Linked DNA regions of Saccharomyces cerevisiae S288C. The gene in region 1 interacts genetically with each later gene. Each region holds a gene or a part of one and is shown in the gene's direction. Other genes may lie near its edges.

What was found. Genes that interact genetically often act in the same process or in processes that back each other up.
Region 2: mutations in URH1 (region 1) and NRK1 are lethal when combined (synthetic lethality), as found in Saccharomyces cerevisiae (2 studies listed by BioGRID, with this or other methods).

Annotation. Positions count from the first base shown.
Region 1 is NC_001136.10:1,268,818-1,273,000, forward strand, and holds URH1 (trifunctional uridine nucleosidase/nicotinamide riboside hydrolase/nicotinic acid riboside hydrolase), read left to right. Parts: upstream 1-2,245; coding exon 2,246-3,268; downstream 3,269-4,183. Other genes in the region: UTP5 (Utp5p), read left to right, coding at 1-585; HPT1 (hypoxanthine phosphoribosyltransferase), read left to right, coding at 1,251-1,916; DIT2 (putative cytochrome P450), read right to left, coding at 3,417-4,183. UniProt on the Saccharomyces cerevisiae protein: Also acts on cytidine.
Region 2 is NC_001146.8:379,704-383,035, forward strand, and holds NRK1 (ribosylnicotinamide kinase), read left to right. Parts: upstream 1-1,776; coding exon 1,777-2,499; downstream 2,500-3,332. Other genes in the region: CPT1 (diacylglycerol cholinephosphotransferase), read right to left, coding at 1-986, 1,079-1,128; DGR1 (Dgr1p), read right to left, coding at 1,542-1,688; TEP1 (putative phosphatidylinositol-3,4,5-trisphosphate 3-phosphatase), read left to right, coding at 2,656-3,332. UniProt on the Saccharomyces cerevisiae protein: Catalyzes the phosphorylation of nicotinamide riboside (NR) and nicotinic acid riboside (NaR) to form nicotinamide mononucleotide (NMN) and nicotinic acid mononucleotide (NaMN).

The DNA of each region.
Region 1 (4,183 bases):
CATTCACTGTTGGAAACAGTGCTCAATAATCGTGACGAGAGGGTCATTAGGGATACTATCTTCCGTCTGAAACCAGCACTGGCTGTCATTCTCTTAGAAAGGTTGGCAGAGAGGATTGCAAGACAAACCCACCGTCAAGGCCCATTGAATGTTTGGGTAAAATGGTGTTTAATCATACACGGTGGCTATTTGGTTTCTATTCCAAATTTGATGTCTACTCTATCGTCGTTACATTCCACCTTGAAAAGGCGTTCCGACTTATTACCAAGGCTACTAGCACTGGATGCAAGGTTAGACTGTACTATAAATAAATTCAAAACTTTGAACTATGAAGCAGGCGACATCCACTCATCCGAACCAGTTGTCGAAGAGGACGAAGACGACGTTGAATATAACGAAGAACTCGATGATGCCGGCCTTATAGAGGACGGTGAAGAATCTTATGGCAGTGAAGAAGAAGAAGAAGGTGATAGTGACAACGAAGAGGAACAGAAGCATACCTCATCTAAGCAAGATGGCCGTTTAGAAACGGAGCAGAGCGACGGCGAGGAGGAAGCCGGATATAGTGACGTTGAGATGGAATAGAGGATATCATGCATAAAATGCTTTCACGCATCAGAATACAAAAATAATCTCTAGGCACATAAATACTTATATAGAGTTCACCACATAATGTAAGAAAAGAAAAAAGAAAAAAAAAGATCACGAAAGTATCCCACGCGAAGAAGATCTGTCAAAAGACCCCCACAATCGTTTATCCTTTTTGAACTGCATCTGGCATCGTTAACAGTAAGGCCATCTGGAACATCAAGCAAGCACTCCACTTTTACGTCACAACCATAGTTGGTTAACTAAGAAAAGACAGTACATATTTCCCTTCCGAGTCACTTATTTTTTTTTTCTTCTGAAAAAATTAATTAGATTAATTTCAATTAATATCATTTCCGCTTATCTGACTTCTTTCATTTTTTTTCTCTATATTTCGCGTTTACTAGGAAAGAAAAGGAAAAAAAATTTTTCCCCCTCCATCTGTCCCAAATCGGGTAGCGATGAGCTGCTATAGAATTTTCTATTTAAACATGTTTGATAAGCCCAATTTCCGTTAGATTTTGTTCCCCCTTCGCAGTTTGGTTTGCCGTAACTTTTTTATTTTAGTCTCCATCTAGCTGGAGTAATACGATGTAGTGCCTTGTAATCTTTCTTATTTTTATATTACCGTTCGTGTTCATTATATCCATTACGTTCCCATAATGTCGGCAAACGATAAGCAATACATCTCGTACAACAACGTACATCAACTATGTCAAGTATCCGCTGAGAGAATTAAGAATTTCAAGCCGGACTTAATCATTGCCATTGGTGGTGGTGGTTTCATTCCTGCTAGGATCCTACGTACGTTCCTAAAGGAGCCCGGCGTGCCAACCATCAGAATTTTTGCTATTATTTTGTCTTTGTACGAAGATTTGAACAGTGTAGGCTCAGAAGTTGAGGAAGTTGGTGTTAAGGTTAGCAGAACACAATGGATTGATTACGAGCAATGTAAATTAGATCTAGTCGGCAAGAACGTTCTTATCGTTGACGAAGTCGATGACACCCGTACCACACTTCATTACGCTTTGAGTGAATTGGAAAAGGATGCAGCTGAACAGGCAAAGGCTAAAGGTATCGATACTGAAAAGTCTCCAGAGATGAAAACAAACTTCGGGATTTTTGTTCTACACGATAAGCAAAAACCAAAGAAAGCAGATTTGCCTGCCGAAATGTTGAATGACAAGAACCGTTATTTTGCAGCTAAAACTGTTCCAGACAAGTGGTATGCATATCCATGGGAATCTACTGACATTGTTTTCCATACTAGAATGGCTATTGAACAGGGCAATGACATCTTTATTCCTGAGCAGGAACACAAGCAATGATAGACATATCATATCCTTCAGTAACTTGAATCATACAGCAGAATTTGTACAATAGACAACGCATATAACTGCGACCATATGTATACGTATAACTAATTATTATCTCAAAGTTTATTCCCTTAGCCTCACCGGTAACCTGTGAGGCGCGATTACGTTTTCCCTCTGTTCACCACCACGTAACGCGATATTTGACACATACGTGACAACTACTTTTGATGGAATCTGCTGATTTTTTTACCTCACGAAACTTATTAAAACAGATAATTTCCCTCATCTGCAAGGTTGGGGAAGGGTTGGACAGCAATAACCAGCGACTGTTTGAAGAAAAGATGACTGTTAGTAAAATACCCATATGGCTAGATTGTGATCCTGGTCATGATGATGCCATAGCCATTTTATTAGGCTGTTTCCATCCAGCTTTCAATCTTCTAGGAATCAGCACGTGTTTTGGTAACGCACCGCCAGAGAATACTGACTACAACGCCCGTTCTCTTTTGACTGCGATGGGCAAAGCACAAGCGATTCCAGTTTATAAAGGCGCACAGAGACCTTGGAAAAGGGAACCTCATTATGCTCCTGACATTCATGGTATATCAGGTTTAGACGGCACTTCTTTGCTACCTAAGCCAACATTTGAGGCAAGAACTGATAAAACGTATATTGAGGCCATTGAAGAGGCGATTCTAGCTAACAATGGAGAGATATCCTTTGTGTCTACTGGTGCACTTACCACATTAGCAACAGTTTTTAGGTGTAAACCATACCTAAAAAAATCTGTCAAATATATTAGCATTATGGGGGGTGGACTCCATGGTCTAGGAAACTGTAACCCAAATCTTTCTGCTGAATTCAACGTTTGGATTGATCCTGACGCAGCGAATTACATATTCCGTGATCCCGATGTAAAGGACAAATGTATAGTAGTTCCTCTAAATTTAACTCACAAGGCCATAGCTACTTACAAGGTTAACGAAATGATATACAACGAAAAGAATAACAGCAAGTTACGAGAATTGTTTTTGGAGCTTTTTCAATTTTTTGCTCATACCTACAAGGATATGCAAGGATTTGAATCGGGCCCACCTATACATGATCCGGTAGCTTTGATGCCGCTTTTGGAATTTTATGGGTGGGATCCATCGTCTGCGGTTGGATTTCGCTACAAGAGAATGGACATATCCTGCATTGATGATGTTTTCAACGAAAACTCAGGGAAAATTATCATTGAAAAAGAATATCCAAATGACAGTGATGTTGGTACAATAATTGGTCTCGATTTGAATATCCAGTACTTTTGGGATCAGATTTTTGAAGCATTAAATAGAGCAGACAAAATGTCAACGATTGGATAAGAACTTCTATAAAAGGCTTTTTTTTTTTCTACTGACCTTTGGTCAGGTTCTGTTCCTTTCATTTTCACTGGATACAAAGAAGTTTCACTAAAAGTTGTCGCGATTGTATACATATATGCGTATATATACAATTCTACATGTTTTATATTTATTCCATTATATTCTCGTTAAATTTTAACTTTAAATTAAGAGGGCAAAGAGGCCCAGCGGGAGTTAATTTTTCTTCCCATTCAGGGTCAAGACTCCATCGAAACTGTTTCAACATTTCAGCCAAAGAAATTCTCATTTCTGTTAGGGCTAGTTTTTCCCCTAGGCATGCTCTTCGGCCTCCATGGAACCCAGTCACAGCACATCTGTTTTTCGCCATTCTCCAGTTTTTCCTTATGGTTTCGATATCTGAACCCCATCTTTCTGGTTTAAAATCATCTGCTGTTGTGCCCCAAGTTTTGGGATCGTGTGAGGTTCCAAAGTTGTTGTACCCGACATATACGCCCTTGGGTATAACAATTTCCGCCCCCAACTTGCACGTTTTGGTAGTACATCTATTAATAATTGTGCTCAAAGGAGGATACATTCTTACTACTTCGAAGAGAAAAGCATTTAATAAGGGTAAATCTGCTAAGCCTTTTGGATCAGTGATGCCGTTTACTTCCTTCCTGAGTTTCTCTTGCCATTCATTTGAATATTTGGCTAGAAGGTAGAGTGAACTATTAAATAGCAACTGCGGGTTTTCATGGCCAGCGACAAGGATAATGACGATATTATCGGTCAACTGTTTGTAGTCGATTATTTCGTTATTGTGAGCACGAATTAGATCACTGGCAGCAAAAGTAGTTTGTTCAAATTTGTAATTATTGACTAATTCATCTTGAACTCTTTTAACGAGAAGTTCTCTAAAACTAACAACATCCTTGA
Region 2 (3,332 bases), on another chromosome or scaffold:
TTTGGTAATCTAAAACGTAAACCATAAATGCGTACAATACCAATTGGATAGTTGGGATTAAAAATGGGAAATTGACCATTGGGAATGGTTGCATGGTTAAATGAGCAATAATCATCCGACCAACTACAAAGGCAACCGAAAAACCAATCGATAAAATTAAAGCCAAAGAAATAAAAGATGGTTGAATCAAGACTAAGGTAAAAATTGAAGAGAAGTATGCAAAGAATGGCAAAAGACCATTTACTGCTTTACTTATATTTTCTGCAGTTTTGCTTGGAGTTGCAGATTTGGTCGATTGGGATTCGTAATACCTCACGACGTTTGTATGAGCTGTGACAATATTAAATATTAATGCTCCTGTGCAAAATGCATACATTAGATGAACGGTTTCAACATCAAACACAAAATCTTGCCAGGAGAATTGCGCTACTTTAGTGTGCCAGATGGTTTGAGGTCCGTAAATTCCGACTGCAATGAAAGAAATACACAAAACAATAATACCTTCAACAGGACCGCAGAATTCAGCTAGATAAAGTTTGTGGGTGTGATACTCTTCCCATGTGCTCAAGTAAAAGCTGCACAATATCGCAAATTGTGAAAAAATGGTCATATATGTGTAACCCATACCTGTCATGGAACAGACAGGAATCATTGACAAAGTTGTGTTGATTGAATCAATACAATGGTCAAACAATTCCCCTAGAGGGCCCTGCTGGCCTGTACGACGTGCATGCATTCCATCGCAAGCATCAAAAGTCTGGTATAAAAACAAACCTATAGCATAGGAGAAATAGGTCCAACGTGGCGATTCCTGGTCAAAATACGGGTCGTAGTAAAGTGTTGTTAACACATTAAATATAATAAAGCAGAACCCTAATAATGTTACCAAATTGGGTGCCATCCATAGTGGAAAAATAGTCGCAAACTTTCTCCAAAAGGGCCTCAATACATGGTTTGAAAGGAAAGAGCGGTCATCACTTTGATACCTAAAGTCAGATTAGTAATTTAATGTTACAATAGTTAGTATTTATTTTTCTTGCCACAGAAGATTTAGGGTGCAATAAGATAAGCAACATACTTGTAAAGCTTCAAGTTTCCCAAACTACTCTGAGGAATAAAGAATCCCATTGTTTCCCCTGAATCAGTTAGTAATACTGTTTTCGAATCCATGGTAGATGATTTTCAAATTCATGAATTCAGTATCCATTAACCTTTTGCTATCTAATCTTTCATATTGGCAGAACGCCAAAGAAAAAAAAAAAAAAACGTCACTTCCCGCGAATTTTCACATGCACTTTAATCGATAAGTTTCAGTAATAGAACTGGACTATAGGAAACAACAATATAGGAAGGATTGCACAAGATCAATTTTTATGCAATAGGAAATCTTGTTATTTGGTAAATCAGCGAGATGTTGTATGACATGCAAATGCTTCACTATTCGGGCAATTCGCATTAGCACCTGAGTATATATCTGACATAAAAAGATTTCTGAAGTTATCGTCAGATAAGAAGATGGAGTCAAAATGTAAACAATAACTTTAACCTATATAAATTTTCTTACATTTGCTTTTAAATACTCGAAGATTTGCATTGAACGATCGTTGCCGTTGACTCATTTGAAACAGAAAAACAATACACGCAGGAAAGGAACGGCAGTTGGTCTGAGAAACAAAACCAACTTGCATTTTAGGCTGTTCCGATAGTTTATCAGAGTAAGGGAAAAAATAGCGTGCAAAAGCTATCGAAGTGTGAGCTAGAGTAGAACCTCAAAATATGACTTCGAAAAAAGTGATATTAGTTGCATTGAGTGGATGCTCCTCCAGTGGTAAGACGACAATTGCGAAACTTACAGCAAGTTTATTCACGAAGGCTACATTAATTCATGAAGATGACTTTTACAAACATGATAATGAAGTGCCAGTAGATGCTAAATATAACATTCAAAATTGGGATTCGCCAGAAGCTCTTGATTTTAAACTTTTCGGTAAAGAATTAGATGTGATCAAACAAACTGGTAAAATAGCCACCAAACTTATACACAATAACAACGTAGATGATCCCTTTACAAAGTTCCACATTGATAGACAAGTTTGGGACGAGTTAAAGGCTAAGTATGACTCTATTAATGACGACAAATATGAAGTTGTAATTGTAGATGGGTTTATGATTTTCAATAATACTGGAATATCAAAAAAATTTGATTTGAAGATATTAGTGCGTGCTCCCTATGAAGTACTAAAAAAAAGGAGGGCTTCCAGAAAAGGATACCAGACTTTGGATTCTTTCTGGGTGGATCCGCCGTATTATTTCGACGAATTTGTGTATGAATCTTATCGTGCAAATCATGCGCAGTTATTTGTTAATGGAGACGTAGAAGGTTTACTAGACCCAAGGAAGTCAAAGAATATAAAAGAGTTCATAAATGATGATGACACTCCAATTGCGAAACCTTTAAGCTGGGTGTGCCAAGAGATTCTAAAGCTTTGTAAGGATTAGGAAAGCGCCACAAAATCGATGAGAAGTATAAAAAAAAAAAAGTAAAAACAATAAAAATAAGAATGTGTACCTCGATAGATAACTTAAATAAGACAATTTCAGAACCACAATATTGATAACACCATCCCGATTTTTGAAATTATTTTTTTGGTGTAAATGAGAGAGGAGGGGAGTGAATTAGAAATGGAAAAAGGCTTCCTTAAATGGAAACCAGTCAACTTGATGAAGAAAATATTGTCTTTACCAATGAAAAAAACTAAAAACGATATAGGTTTGAGATTAGATATATCATATATTTTAGTTAATCTAATAGTCTGCTCATACCCGGTAAACACGTATCCAAAACTGCTTTATAGGAATAGCTTGGATGACTTAATATTGTTTCTAACAGTGTACCATGGCAAGGGAAATTTTAGAATTTTTAATTTTAGAGGTGAGAAAGAAGACAGCGATTATAAAGATAATGATCTTATTGGTATCGCTGCCAAGTTTGAGAGCAAAGATTTTGAAATTCAAGAATTACGTTCGACGCTGATTAATGATGGAAAGATACCAATATCACCCATTGATCTCGAAACAAGGACCTTGGTCGAAGAAGAAACCAATAATGTAATTTGTGAAAGGATCGGTTGGCTAGATCATTTTCCACCGCCATTTGAACTGCTGGAAGAGATTGTAGATGGTATAGAAAATTACCTGTCCGTTTCGAAGAATAGAGTGGCTGTTTTACATTGTCGAATGGGGAAAGGCCGATCTGGTATGATAACAGTAGCATACCTCATGAAATACTTGCAGTGTCCTCTTGGAGAAGCAAGATTGATATTCATGCAGGC